Linked DNA regions of Notamacropus eugenii. The protein of the gene in region 1 binds, or shares a complex with, the protein of each later gene. Links are inferred from orthologs where the notes say so. Each region holds a gene or a part of one and is shown on either strand. Other genes may lie near its edges.

What was found. The genes of interacting proteins can lie anywhere in the genome.
Region 2: NME5 (region 1) and DYDC1 share a complex: the UniProt entries of both Homo sapiens proteins name them as parts of the axonemal radial spoke complex. The link is inferred for Notamacropus eugenii from reciprocal best matches to the Homo sapiens genes NME5 and DYDC1.

The regions. Positions count from the first base shown.
Region 1 is NC_092872.1:365,279,090-365,287,152, forward strand, and holds the start of NME5 (nucleoside diphosphate kinase homolog 5), read right to left. Parts: upstream 3,042-8,063; 5' UTR 2,667-3,041; coding exon 2,538-2,666; intron 1-2,537. Other genes in the region: BRD8 (bromodomain-containing protein 8), read right to left, coding at 3,497-3,547, 4,731-4,908, 5,765-5,833, 6,615-6,704. UniProt on the Homo sapiens protein: Functions as part of axonemal radial spoke complexes that play an important part in the motility of sperm and cilia. Does not seem to have nucleoside diphosphate kinase (NDPK) activity.
Region 2 is NC_092872.1:227,290,614-227,298,543, reverse strand, and holds the start of DYDC1 (DPY30 domain-containing protein 1), read right to left. Parts: upstream 3,089-7,930; 5' UTR 2,962-3,088; intron 1-2,961. UniProt on the Homo sapiens protein: Functions as part of axonemal radial spoke complexes that play an important part in the motility of sperm and cilia. Plays a crucial role during acrosome biogenesis.

The DNA.
Region 1 (8,063 bases):
CAATTATTTAAAGCTGATTTTGTGTAGTTTTTTATAATTTTGTTTATGTAGTTCCTGGGTTTGTTTTGGCAGGTGTACTCCCCAGATATTTTGTACTGTCTAGAGTTATTTTGGGGTAAATGGGGTATGTATTACTATCTCTTCTTTCAGGGTTTTGTTTGTGATATATAAGAATGCTGATGATTTATGTGGATTTACTTTACTGAAAAGCTTTTGCATGAAAAAAATGAACGAGGGTAAGAAGGGAAGCTATTTATCAGGGGGAAAATCTTTGCATCAAATATCTATAATAAAGGCCTAATGAAAAGCAGCATATAATAAGCAAACAGAAATAGAAAGAAGAGTTGAGAATTGAAGACAAGAAGACTGGGATTCATATCTTGGCTCTGATATATCCTTGCTCTCTGACTCTAGACAAGTCACCCTACAGGAGCCCCCATGCAACTCTCTTGAGACTGTAAGTTACTGGCCTGGAAGAGCTTAGTAAATGCCTGCTAATTGATCTATTGATTGGTAGAAAAAACATCCTCTCTGGGAGTTAAACCAATGAAATTATAGTTCTACCTCACTTCCTCAAAGGGTCTGCTGTCCAAGGTATAATGGGAACTAATAAATAGCAAGGTCAAGTGTCATTTCTCTCTGAGTAATTTGGTCAAAGGACATGAATGGTTCTCAGAAGAACTGTAAATGAACAACTATGCGAAAAAAATTGCTGCAAAAATTGCTAATAAGAGAAATGCAAATCATTCTGAGTTTCACCTCACATCCCAACTTTCTAAACCCCAATATTGTCAAAATGATAAAAGACAGTAAGGTCAACATTGGAGGGGCTTACAGAAATGCAACCACACAAATACACTGCTGAGAAAGCTGTGAATTGGTCCAAATATTCTAGAAAGCAATTTGGAATTAAGAAGGAAACATAACTAAAGCTTTCATACCTTTTGACCTACAGATCTCACTGCTAGCCATATGCCACAAGGAGGTCAAAAATAGAAAGGTCCTATAAATACGAAAATAATTATAGGTGTGGTAACAAAGAGTTGAATGGCTTAACAAATGGTCAAACATTAACATAATGGAATATTACTGTTTCACAAAAAATAATGAATATGAAGAATTCAAAGACATGAAAATTTAAATGAACTGATGCAAAATGAAGTAAGCAGGACTGGAAAAAATACATCACTACAACACAAATGGGAAAAAAAAATGTTATGTAATTACAACCACCAAGTTGGTGCCCAAAGAAGAGATGAGAAAATGCACCTCCTTCCCTTTCTGTTTTTGTTTTTTTATTTTTATTTATTTTTAATTAATTTTATTTATTTTCAGTGTTTTACAATCACTACTATATAACTTGGATTATTATTTTTCCCTCCCTGAGATGGCATATAATTTTATATAGGTTCTACTCAAACATTCTTATTAAATACATTTTCACTATAGTCATGCTGTGTAGAAGAATTAAATTGAATGGGAGAAATCATATAACAAACCAAAATGTAATACATGCACAAAAAAGTGATCTGCTACATTTTGGATTGAATTCCAAAGTTCTTTCTCTGGGTATGGAGGGCACTTTGCCTTAGAAGACCATTGGGAATTTTTTTTAAGTCCTTGCATTGCAATGAAGTTCCAAGTCTACCAGAAAAAACTCTCGCACACGGTGGTTGTTGCTGTGCACAAAGGTCTCCTGGTTCAGCTCCTTTCACCTCTCTGAAGTCTTCCTGTTCATCATTCCTTATAGCACAATAGTATTCCATTACATTCATATACCACAATTTATTCAGCCATTCCCCAGTTGAGGGGCATCCCCTCGGTTTCCAGTTTTGGGCCACCACAAAGGGTACTGCTATAAATACTTTTGTACATGTGGGACCCTTTCCCATTTGTATGATCCCTTGGGGATACAGCTGTAGAAGTGGTATTGCTGGGCCTAAGGGTATGCCCGTTTTGTACCCTTTGGGCACAGTTCCAACCCGCTCTCCAGACTGGTTGGATCTTCTTCCCTTTCCTGTAAAAGCGAGGGACTAGGGGGCTTCCTCCACTGTCAGGCCCAGTCCATGTGTTGGTTAGTTTTGCTGAACTGCTTTTTTTCTTCTTTTAAAAATTCTTGTTGTAAGAGCTCGTCCCTGGGTATGGGGTGGGAAGGTTATATTTGGAAATGAAGGTAATACAAAAGATTTAAGATTCAAAAAGCTTCTCTTTTAAGAGAGAATGCTTATTCTTTTCCTTTTAAAAACACTTTCTAATGAGGCAATATAGTAGGGGAGGTTTGTTGTACGTAATTAGATCATGGAATATTTAGCTCTTTAGAAACTAAGGGATCCAGGATACCCAATTATATTCTATTTGATAAATAATCATTATCATCCAAGTCCTGCCATAAATGGGTAAATAAACTTTTTGGCAAATCAAAAAAAAAAAACCCAAACCCATTCACTAAATCCTACAAAAAGGATACTATTGGTTAACTTTTCATTAGTATGGAATGAAACAGCCATTCAGAAAGGCAATGAAATGAAGCCCTTTACCTGCACAATGGTGAACCCAGACTTGAGGATGATGCCCTCTATCTCCTCCTCTTTGTCCACAATGTCTGGCTTGATGATGGCCAGGGTCCTCTCTACGTAAATCTGGGGCGGGGGCATTAAGAGCTCCATCCTGGCGGTCGGGATACACTTCGCTTCCCCACGGCCACGAACTGCAAGGAGGCCAGGCCCACTTGCCCCGCGAGGCTCCTGACGATCGGGGGCAGCGCCCCTCCGGTCAGCCCGTCGGGGCGCTTCCCCACCCCCACCAGCACCGCGCCGCCAACCCCCCCGGGGGCTGGGCACGGCAGGATGCCCAGTTGTTGCAGAAGAGGCCCCAGAAGCCCAGACAGGGGGTGACGGTGACCGGCGTGGCCGCAGAGGGTTGGCAGGGCCTTCTCGGACCCTGCCGGTGTCTCGCCTCCGCCCGGCCGGCCCTCCGAGCCAGCAGCCCGCCCCTGCCCGGGCCCAGCGCGGCCCCTCCGGTTGCTAGGAGGCAGCAAGGACGCTCGGTGGCGGCCTCGCCCCTCCCCCTGACAAACAAGGCCTGGTTCGTGGGTAGAACCGTGCTCCGCCGGGCTCCCTCCCCCCTCGCCATTAAAAAGCCGTGCCAAGTTTGTTAAACAACGTTTATTCTAAGATGGGTCACACAAGAAGCTTGGTGGAAGTGGGCGGCCCCTGGGAGGAGGCACAAACCGCGGCCCCGCCCGCTCCTCCGGGGTCCCTGACTAGCAGCAGCCCGGGCTTCTTGGGTGACTTAAGGCCTCTCACTGTTACGAACAAAGGATAACTCATGAACTCGAACAATCTCTGAGATGCGATCCAGGCCAGGGCCGAGCGGGGAGCCCCTGACTCCGGAACGGCCTCGGCCCGCTCAGAGCCGAGGGCGGGGGGAAGGTCAGGCTGGCCGCCGGAGCCGCCCGGCTGGGGAGCCCAAGGGCTCTCGGTGGCCCCCTGGTTTATCAGTCCACATGACTCAAATCTCTTCTTCTGTCTAACCAAATACTTAGCACCTGTGCCAGGCAAGAGGAGAAAAAGCTGTAAATCTCAAAAAGCACCTGGATGTCTGCGCATCGTGAGAGCAGCTAGCTACATATCCTTTCCCCTTCTCCAGCTAACAACTTTATGACAACAACTCAGTGCAACTGTAAGGCATACAGTCTTCACATGCAGGCCTTTTTCTGACTGCCACACACCTTGGGAATGGGCAAAGATGGAATGATGTCAAATTTATACGAGCAAAAGCAGCTCAAGGGCTATAGCTTCTTGTTTACAAGTTTGGCTGCAGTTTCTCCTCTCAGTGGCTGTTGACTTGTGGCTTGGGAAACAGATCCAGGCAACCTGCAAGATCTCACCACAGAAATTCATCCTTTCACAGGATTCTTTTCCTCTTTCCCCAGCTCTTGTGAGAACCCATCTCTGCTGTTTTCCCCTGACTACTTGTGGCATAGTGAAAAGAGCCCTGAATTTGGAGTCAGAGAAACTGGGTTAAAATCCCAACTATGTTACCTTGGGCAAGTCACAACCTCCCTGGGCCTCAGTTTCCTCATCTGTAAAATGAGGGTGATGGATTAGATCAAGGGTTCTTAACCTGGCATCTGTAAATTTGTTTTATTATTTTGATAACTATTTCAATATCTCACTTCCTTTGTAATTCTATGTATTTTATGCATTAAAAAAAAAACATTCTGAGAAGGGGTTCATAGGCTTCCCCAAACTGCCAAAGGGGTCCAGGACACAAAAAAATGTTAAGAACCCCTGGAGATGATCTCCAAGGTAACTTCCCAACCCTAAATATAAGATCCTTGGGCATTCTACTTCTCCATGTAGAGCTGCAACGTACTGTACCCCATAGCTTGCCTTCTGACACAGGTTTCAAAAAATGGTGAATGTGGTAAAGGACAAACCCAGGAAGGATAAGGGGAGCCCCAGAAAGTCACTTTGAATCAAAACAGGAAGATGGAACAACTACAAAGTCCCATGCTCATCTATACCAGCCTCCTCCAAAGAAACACTAACTGGGGCTTAGGATTTGCTGGGCTATATAAACTTCATTGTGAACTTCTGAGGGGCTCAGGACCACACTTTGTCAAGACCCCTAATCTCTAAGGGAAAGAGCACTACTCTTAGACCACCACTTATGTGAATGCTCTGAAAAGTGGCCTCCTTTTCCTATAAGTCCCTAAGATATAATACCTGGATCTGCTCTAGGACCTCTTTTTGCATCTCTATAGCCATGTGGTAAACATGGTGATCAGAGTCATTGTACATTACAGCATTCTGGAACATCAACATCAAATCACGCTGGAATTGTGCCATGCTGCGAATATGTCCCTTAGAGAGGTTCCTCTTCAGAGTCGTTAAGTCCATGGGTCTGCAAGTGGCCAAGAAAGACCAGGAGGAATTACATAGTCATATGGAATATAAACTGCTCAAATGAATTCTTCTAGATAACTGACCTCCCCCTTCAGTAGGAGCTACTGCTCCTGATATCACAATGTGAAATTCAAATGGTTAGTAAAAAAGCATTTGAGTGCTCAGCGTGCAGAGCACTGTAAATATCTTTGATTTATTTACTCCCACTTTCCTTAGAGAATTCATATGCTATGAAGAATGATTTTTTTTTCCCTCAGGTGAAGAAAACCAGAGAAGAAAGGACTCATGTAGGAAAGATAACCCAAATGGGTATTTCTTACATAGAAAATATTTTTTTATGAAAACTGCTACATTAGTATAAAATTCTGCTTTCATTTATATGTGGCATCCAATTGCGTTTTCTTGCCCTAATACACCCATATTAACTCCCTAAGTTTCTCTTGGGCTTAACAGACAACAGTGACTATACCTGGTGAGCTTGAAAAACATAAGTGAGAAATGACCAACACTGACTGTTCTCACAATGACCATGCAGATTCTCCTTTTGAAAGTTTTAGTTCAAAAGGGAATGTTCAGAAATTACAAAGTACTAACCAAAGTCTTTTAGACTCAAGAGTATACACTGCTACAAATGATATATTTGTCTTTTCTCACCCTCCTTTTCCTCCCAAAAGAAAGATGTTGACTTCTTCATAGCTTTATTAGCATCTTCTGCTCACAAACATTATTTTCCTTATATCTAAGTGCAGCAAATAAGGCACAAGATCATTTAAAATACAGGGAAACAGAATGAAAAGAGAACAGGCACAAGGATATGAAGCAACCAACCTTTCCTTCCCCCTTTCTTCACTGACCTTTTCACCACATCCTTGTACCCCGGAGCTTGCCTATCTGACACAGGTTTCAGAAATGGACTGCTGAACCTGGTAAGGGACAAACCCAGAAAGGATAAGGGGAGCCCCAGCAGGTCACTTTGAATCAAAACAGGAAGAAGATGGAACAGGTTAACTACAGAGTCCTGTGCTGTTCTATGCCAGCCTTCTTCAAGGAAACATCATCTGGCAGTGGAAAAATCTGTAAATTCCCTCTTGATGTATAAACATATAGAAACACTTTATGCTAATGCCACATATCATGGCACTTGAGAGCTCAGACACTTGTTTGAGACCCTGTCTGATAGGGTCCTACTAGAAAGAAGCATTTATTTCAAATATAAATTTGATCTCAGAGATAGCATAGTGTAGTGAATAGAAAGCCAACCATGGAGTTGGAAGATCTGGGCTCAAGACCTACTTCTGACATACAGTGGCTATATGATCATGCATAAAAGGAACCTCTTAGTTTCCTAGGCACTGTTCTGCATTGATAGAGGGAGTTTCTTTCCAGAAATTCCTCATTCCAATGAAATAATAGGTTCAGAAAACAAAAATTATAATTTTATCTCTTAAAGTTCCACTTCTGAAGAAAAACTAGAAATTAAAACTCAAATGACAGCAACTTTTTCTTCCAGAGACCTACAAAAGCAGGGTTTTTTTTAAAGGTAGTTGCTGGTGCTGATGGATGGAAAGGACTGTCTTATGTGGTCCACTTCCAAGATATATATTCATATCTTCTACTATGCCTGACCTATCTTCTGACATGGGTAATATGCTTCAGTGGTGAACAGCCATTCTACCAGTTTCCTGTCCAATTTGAGACACTTACCTGTGACTGGCAATCATTTTCCAGACTGGAAGAAGGGTTTTCTTGAATAGCAGCTGTTCCTTGACAGGATCACCCTGGTTTGGATCAGTCCTACGAGAAGGGACATGGTCATTTCCCAAACGTTGTTCTAATTCTTTTAGGCAGACAATCAAGGTACTGCCTATGTTTAGGCCTTAACTTTTAATCAGGTCTCACCAAAGGAAGGAACTTTACTCTTTATGTCTATTCTACATTAAAAAACTGAAACACTACAGGATGAGAAATACTGTGTTTCCAAAGTTTTCATAAAGGAGACTCAAAACTATGAACAAGCTCAGTCTTCACAGTAACTCAAAGATGGGTCTGCTTCTTTTGAAGGCTTTTCTGTGATTCTGACAGCACATCTACGCTGGTCTTTACTTTTTTTCACCCCTGCTAATCTGTTCTTCTGCAATTCTGACATAACATAGTTTGCCTATAAAGTACATCCCTGACCTCAGCCAGAATGGCACTCAAATGTTGAGACTCTTCTGTAACTTCAGGAGAGAGGATATTTAGTCAATAATCCAACTGTCTAAGAATTTTTCACCTTCAGGAAATTTCCCTTCATGCCAAAACAGCTTAATTGTATGTACTTCTGCCCCCACATGCATTTAGAAATTATTTTTGTTTTTGTATTTAAACCCACGCAAATGAGATCTTATAAATTTAACAGACTATATTAATTCTATGGAAATGAGGAAAACTGATTTTAATATTCCTAGATTAATATGGCTGTGAATTTCTGCTTAAAATTAATGTCTCACATAGGACCAGTGGAATACATTTCTTCTAATGTTGGCATTGTAGGTAGTTTCCAAAATTTCAAAATATATACACAATTACAATTTCCTAGATATCATCAATATAAACAGAAAAAATCTTTTACAGGTTTTGAAATCATCTGAACAAAATTAAACACTTTCATTTCATTTTGCTTCCAAAAGAAATAAAATCCACAAAGAAGCTTCGCAAAAATCTAAAAACAAAATTAAAAAAACCTAAAAACTGAAACAAACAACCAAAAAAAAAAAACGCCCAACAATCCAGCATTCTGTTAGTGGTGCATTTTTTCCATATTAAAAAAAACAGAATTCTATCTAAAACAAGGTCATTAAAAATAACTATGCTATACCACAGCCACTATCACATCTCATAAACAGGTACAGGATATATTAGAGGCATTAAGAGTGTGAACTTAGGCTCAGGCAGATTCCAAAGTTTTATATCCTGCCTCAGACAGTTCCTAGCCATGTAAACCTGGACAAGTTACAACTTCTCTAAGAATTCTTTATCTCATCTGTTAATAGGGATAATAACAGTATACACCTTACAGGGTTATTGTGAAAATTAAAGGAAATCATATATATATGTATATACATACATACATACATATATATATAGTGCATTTTACCAACTTTAAAGTCAACA
Region 2 (7,930 bases), about 140 Mb from region 1:
AGATTAAAGCAGAGGTTATCCAATACCAGTCAATATTTGAGATATATAAAAAGGTAGCACACCTTCAGTGACAATACTATTATATAAATATTACTTTTCAGATTTTGTTCTTTCTCCTGCTTGTGATAAGGGTCTTTTTTTTTATTTATCAAGATCCCACTTCTTTAGCCCATTTAAAGTGTCTACACATGGCTATTTCTATCTCTTCTCTATAAGAAAGAGTTTAAACATCTAACTCCCCAGACATTTTGAAAGAACACAATAGTTTATATATCAGAATTTCATGTCTTAGGGATACCATAATATTATTATGAAAATGTCTTATAAAAGAATATCTGTGTGACATTGAAAAAATTGTTTTACTTCTTTCGGCAACAGTTTCCTTGCTTATGTAAGTCTGGGGGTTTTCACCCTGAATGTAGTCATAGAAGGCCTATACCAGGGATGGGGAATATACAGTCTCAAGGCCACATATGGCCTTCTAGGTTCTTGGTCCTAGGTTCTTCTAGGTCCTTTTGACTGAGTCCAAGTTTTATAGAACAGATCCTTTTATTAAGGAGATTTGTTCTGGGAAGTTTGGATTTTAGGTCTAGAGTATAAGTCAAGGCCTTAGACAACTAGAGGAAATGAATCAAAGAGATAAAGAAGGTTAAGATGATGAATTTGGAAGGAATAAAGTGTTTTGATCATTGAATGAAGATGATTGAAGCTACATGCATGCACAAACACAAACACACACATTCACTAAGTTGTCTTGTGACTGGCTGGAAGAATCAGACATATCTTTTAGCCCATTTGTGATATACATCAAGCAAGTTCAAATATAAGCTTTCTAGCAGTGAGTTGAGTGATGATTCAATTCAGTGAGTAAGAATTCCTTTGATGAAATTGCCCTGGGGTTTGGGGTGGTGAGGAAGGGTAGAGTTTTTCTTCATTCCTTTCTCCTTGAATAAATGATGACTTTGCGAAGTTCAAAAAGTTGAAAGATCTGGAATTCTCATCCAGATCAGTAGCAATGTCTCTTGATAAGTGGTGGCTAATGACTTTTAAAGCCTAGCAGAGAGCTATACCTAAGGGGTACTTCAAAGGACTTACAGTAACCAGAAGGTATTAATTTACTGTTTGGTTCTGTGTGCTTTCTAAGTTTGAGCCCAATCTCCCCAAAGGCCTTTTGTGAGAGCACCATGATACCCTCAAGCAAAGTACAGAACCAATTCTTCCCCCACAGCATACAGGAGGAATTTCCTTATAAATTGAATACTTTCCTTGTAAATTTCATCCTGCCTAAAGACTGCTAAAAACAGACTTTATCAGGAGTAGAAAATTTTTCTCCCTGAGACATTGCTATTTATATGACCTTGGCTATCTGGGGACTCAATATATGCCCCGCTCCAAGTATATCCCCAGCTTGGGGACTGTTTCTGTAACAAGTGTCTTTTTACATCTCCTTAGTAAATATCTTTTCTCAAAGCCAGTTACATCAATAGGGAGGGCCATCAGTGGGGAAACTTATTAGTGGGAATACAAGAAAACCAGATCTTCAGTGCTATCTCCAGAATTCTGCTCCCTCAGTAGGTATAGTAGCAGCCCTCTAGCAACCTGGCCCACCAATGTGAGTGTGATTTGAGGGAGTGGCTCTAGAGAGGATGCTACTTCTGTAAAATGGGGGAGGGAAGAAACTAGATGATTTCTTAGGTTTTTTCCAACACTAATCTAGTCAGTTGTGTTCAGAACTGATAGGACTTGAGACTTTCAGGGAATAATGAAGAGTGAAATAAATATAATCAAGGGAATGTTGGATACAGTAATAGCAATATTGTTTGAAGAATAATTGTGAACACCTAAGTTATTTTGAGTATTATAAATATTCAGATCAATTACAAAGCACCTATGAAGGAAGATGCTGTCCACCTCCAGAGAAAGAACTGATAAATAGAAATATGTAATACATATTTCATATACATATATGTGTATATATGTATGTATGTATATGTGTATATGTATGTATACATATATGTGTGTGTATATATATATATATAGAGAGAGAGAGAGAGAGAGAGAGTGTGTGTGTGTGTGTGTGTGTGTGTGTGTGTGTGTGTGTGTGTGTGTGTAATGGTGATGGCCTCTAGTGTGGGTGAGGAGGGATAAAGGGAGATAGTTTGGACCTTAAAATGTAACTAAAAAAAAATAAATTTAAAAACAAAGAACTGATAGTATTTGACTACTGATTAAATAATAGTAATGATTCACTTTATATAGCACCTTACAAGGCACTTTCTGCACAATAGCCCTGTGAGATAGGGAAAACATGAATTACCATTCTTATTTTACATATGGAAACATACTTCCTGTCATACATAGTAAGTGCTTAATAAATACTTATTAAGTAAGGCTCAGAGAAGTTAAGAAGCTGTCTGGAAGCCAAGTATTCCACTATACTACATTGCCTGAGGGGGAAAAAAGAATTTAAAAATTATAATAAGGTCTCCAGCATAGCAGCCGGTGTGAATGGTGGTGCCATTGACAGAAATTACAAAGTTAGATGAAGAAATAGGTTTGGGGGGAAAAGGAAAGAGAATTAGTCTTAGAAGTTGAAGAATTTACTTCCAGTCCTGACTTGATTCATTTCTACTTCTATGACCTTGGACAATACACCTAATCACTAGGGACTTCAATTTTCTCATCTGCAAAATGAAGGTCTGGGCTTAGGTGATTTCTATTGATCCTTCTACCTTTAAACCTTGTGACTCAGATAGTTGGTAAATCTTACCATTTAAATAGGTGTCTTCATGTGGAGATGACCAGTAGGCACTTGAAATAAAGATCAAGAAGAGATCAGGGATAGAAATAAAGATTTGAGAGTCATCTGCATCCTGACAATAGCTGAAGTTATGAGAATGAATGAGATTATTAGGGGGATAGTGCAAAGAGAAGACAAAAACCAAGGGTAAAAACACTAACCTTAAACAGCTGGGAAGAGTTCCAGATGCTGAATGGGTCGTTAGAAAGGTCAGAAGGGAACAAACTGAGACTGGTGTCTCTGAAGCCAAGTGAACAAAGACTATCCACCAGAAAGAAATAGTCAAAAGTGTCCGATGCTATAGACAAGTCAATGAGGATGATGACATTTATTTTAAAGCCATTGTTTGGGAAGCATTATGAGGTCACTGACAGTCTTTGAGTAAGCAATAAAGACGTGGGCGATGAGCCAGATTCCAAGTGTCTGGTGAAGGAAAAGAGAAATGCATGTATAGCCAACTTTTTAAAGAACTTTGTCAGTGAAATGGAAGTAGGATCATAGAAAGTTGGCTAAAGGGAAATAAAGGAAAGAATGTGTATGAATGTGTGTAGCACAGGTTTAGATTTAATTCCTGCTCCTACAGTCAGCTTGGGTCCACAGAGTATAACTGCTACATTAGCTATGATCACCTTTCATGGTACAAAAGGTGGCCCTAAGGAGTTTAGGGTAGTTTTCTAAAATTATTGCTCGTAAACTCCTCCTGGTGTGCTCCTCCCCCTCCCATAATCATCATCAATTGAAATCAATTAGTCAGCCAGATTTAATTAGGTTTTAGAAAGAGATATTTATGGTCATTGGCATTCAAGAGTGCCATTGACCCCTTTTATTAATTATCTGCTGGCATGATTAATAAAATGATTAATTGCCCAGAAATTATATCTTCCCCAATGGGGAAGGGCACAGCCCACTACTGAGCAGACCTGAGACTGAAAACCTTCTCATGTCTCTCCAGAATCTGCCTCAAGTCTCAACTGGGAGACCTAAAGGCAGAGGGATATTGGAGAGAATTGACAGACAAAGTGAAGCTAGACATTGTGATCAAGGACTGGTTTGCCACCAGAAATGACTATGGTCACACCTACCATATCTGTAACTTATTGTGAGAGGTCTTGTCTGAGTTTAAGCCAGCCCCTGTGTACATTGACCAATGGAGTGGTGCTGAAAGGAAAGGGTCTCCTACACATTCTGCAATTGCCCCTCTTCAAGAGTCCATTACATCTACTTCCAGTACGGAAGCAAATATACTCAGTTCTGGGCTCGATAATATGGCCTGAGTGTCACCAGCAGTAGCATCACCATTGGCCCTGAAGTCATTAGGAAACCCATTCCTGCAGAAAAGGAGAATCTCTTCAGGAGATAGCCTAAGACCCTTCCAACAAAAACCGAGGACATAGAGAATGATGAAGCAAATTGTGGTACATGAATAGAATAAAACATTATTGTGTCATGGGTCGGGATGAATATGAAGAATTCAGAGACTTATATGAACTGATTCAGAGTGACACTGAAGAGCCATGTGACCCACGGAGAGGTACTTAACCTCTGACTGTGAATAGGGGTATAGTTCATGATCAAACAAGAGATAAGATCATGGGAGGTAAAATGGATAACTTGTATTACAGTAAGTTTAAAAGAGTTTGTACAAACAAAACTAACACAGCCAAAATAAGAAAAGCAGAAAACTGGAAGGGGAATTTTGCACCAAGTTTTTGGGGTTTTTTGATAAAGGTCTCATTTCTGAAAAATATAAGAAACTGAACCAAATCTATAAAAACAGGAACCATAGACCTTGGGCAAGTCACTTAACGCCAATTACCTCACCTCTCCTTTCCAAAAAGAAAAAAAAATAAGAACCATTCCCAAACTGATAAATGTACAAAGGATATGAGCAGGCAGTTTTCAAAAGAAGAAATCAGCACTCTCAATAGTCATTTGAAAAATGCTCTACATAATTAATATAGAATTGCAAATTAAAACAACTCTGAAGTACCCTTTTATACCTATCAAATTGGCCAAAATGACCAAAAATAAAAATGATAAATGTTGGAGGGGATGTAGAAAAAATAGGTACACTAATTCATTGTTGGTGGAGCTATGAATCAGCCCAACCATTCTGGAGAGCAATTTGGAACTATGACCGTAGGGCTATAAAATTGTGCATACCCTTTAACCCAATACCACTACTAGGTCTATATCCCAAAGAGATCAAAGAAAAAGGAAAAAGACCCATGTATGCAAAAATACTTATAGCAACTCTTTTGTAGTGGCAAAAATGCCCATCAACTGAGGAATGGCTGAACAAGTTAGTGTAAAAGAAAGTGATAGAATGCTTTTGTGCTGTAAGAAATGATGGAGATGGTTTCAGAAAAATCTGAGAAGACATATGAAATCATGAGAAGAGAACCACGAAAATATCATACACAATACTAGCAAGATTGCAATGAAAATCAACTGTGAAAGAATTAGCAACTGATCAATACAATCATCCATGACAATTTCAAAGGATTCATGATGAAAAATGCTATCCACCTCCACGAAGAGAACTGATGGGCTCTCAGTGCTGATTGGAGAATTTTTTTCTCTTTATTTTTCTTGCTTCCTGCCCACCCATCCATCTTCCATAACATGGCAAATGTGGAAACATATTTTGCATTACTTACTGTATATAATAAATATTATATTTCTTGCCTTCTCAATGGGTAGAGAAGAGAGTAGAGGGAGAAAGAGAATTTGAAACTCAAAAATTATTTTTAAACAGAAATTATGTTAGAATTTAAATGTTAAATTTAATTTTTAAAAGAGTTATAAAAAGAATTTTTTTTCAAAACAGAAAGAAGAAAGGTTGGGGAAGACTACCATCCTTTGCAAAAGATCACAGATATGGAACTCTGAAACACTGGGAACAGCTTTGAGAGTTAGGAGGAACTGAAGAGAAAAGCCTGGGTCCCAGTTTAATAATTGGTTATTAATATGATAGTATAATAATAATTTTTCTCAACTGGGATACAATAAGGTATGCCTGGAGATAGAACAAAGGAGTAAACAGAAGGGGATAGTGTAGGATTGAGTTGGTTCACCAATACATGGAGATAGGGATGGGAAGATAAGCATAGCCAGTGCAGGAATGATGTCCTGGGGAAAAAAACACTGAAGAGATTGAGGGAACAGAGATCACTATGAAGATGAAGAACAGTGCTAGAGAGAGTACTTCCCGAGAGAGGAAGCCCCTGTTGCTAGAACCAGAAGAAGCAAAAGCCTAACCCCAGGCTGGAGACATTTTTATCTCTCAACTTCTCAACCTTGGTTTTCAATAATCACTTTTTATAAAGCCAACCTAGAGTGGGTTTGAGGGAGGAGAGAGTGAGGTCAGCACATGGACGGTTCCTAGCTTTCCAGCCACATCTGTGTCTCCAGCTTCCTTACTCCAAACTATAGATGAGTTTCCTTCCTTGGTCATTGATGTATAGAACACAAACATTTTATTGAAGTAAAAACAACAACCCCATTTGTCTGTAAAGCCACTCTTGCCCCAAAGAACTCAAGGGCACCAAAGAAAATGGGGTCCCAGGGTCCTCCAATTATGTCTCACCTCAAGATTACTTCCTGGAGGCCAAATTCCAACTGCCAGGCCAAGGAATGGGTAGATGTGAGCCTGCCAGGTTGCTACAAGTTATAGGACCCAGGGTCTCACTCATTTTTAAAATATCTAAGGCCATGACTCTTTCAGGACTACCACCACCACTCAGCAATATCTCCTCTTTTTAGTTCATAAGGTCCAACTTTATCACCCAATCCAGATCCTAATCGTGATTATCTACCAATCCCCGAGACATTCCCTGTCCTTCCTCAATAAGTCTGGTGCCTGGCTCATGGTCTTTCTCTTCCCCAACTCCTGCCTAGATACTAGGGGATTTCAACGTATATATGGATGATTCCTCAGATCCACTTACTTCTCATTCTCTCTATATATTCTTTATACTCAACCTACTTCCTCCTCTGGTCCATGTCAGCTATACACCATGAGGGACATAGGTTTGAACTTGCCATCCCCCACAAGTGTTCAACTTCCATGTTCAAGAGCTCTGAAATTGCTTTGTCTGACCATGTAATTTTGTCATTTCATCTCTCCCTAGCATTATTCTCCATCTTCATAGTGATCTCTGTTTCCTTAATCTCTCCAGTTTTTTCCCAGGACATCATTCCTGCACTGGCTACACTCTTCTCCCATCTCTATCTCCATGTATTTGTGAACCAACTCAATCCTACACTATCCTCTTCTGTCAACTCTTTTGTTCTATCTCCAGTCATAACTTATTATATCCCAACTGAGAGAAATTATTATTATACTATTATATTAAAAAATCAGTTATTAAATTGGGACCCAGACTTCTCCCTTTAATTTCCTCATTCTTGTTAAAGTCAGTCACTGAAGGCCATGACTGATTGATGAGATTATTCCTAGTTCCCAAGAAACATGCTCTTCAGTGTTGGGCAGGGATCCCACCCAACTAGATCTTACTTCTGTTTAGAGTATAATAAGACTCCAGTCTATGTGTATCCTTACCCTGGAGAAAGAGAGCCCTGCCCTTGTATCTCTCCATTAGAGTTTAGTGTATCCCAGCTTATGAAGGGGAAAACCAACCAGAGTAGTCTGACTGGAGAGAGATTCACCTGTCCAGATTACTGGAGGAGACTGTTTTGCATGACTAAGCCATATGCTCAGCAGGAGGAGGTAGACTTCTAATTTACCTCCTCATTAACTGTCCACCAATCAGGGTTGATTTACACTCATCAAGGGAATTTCAGGGTCTTCATTAAACTTCTTTGGTTATTGAGAGAAACTACAGAACCTCCATTTATTATTAGCTAGTCTAATTAATAATCTGATTATTAATTACCAAGAAAAAAGAGGTGTTTATTAATGTAGTATGGCAAGAATTATTTAGCACTAAATGTCCACCCCTCCCCCCCCAAAAAACCTGTGACACTCTCCCTCCCATAAAAACAGAATCCAATGGAAAGTTGGCTTAAGAGTATGAAGTACACATGGCAGAATGGTAATTCAGAGCTCCTAGTTGCTAGAAATCTCTTTTTCCCTTTCTGGTTTACTCATGAATTTTCCACTAGACA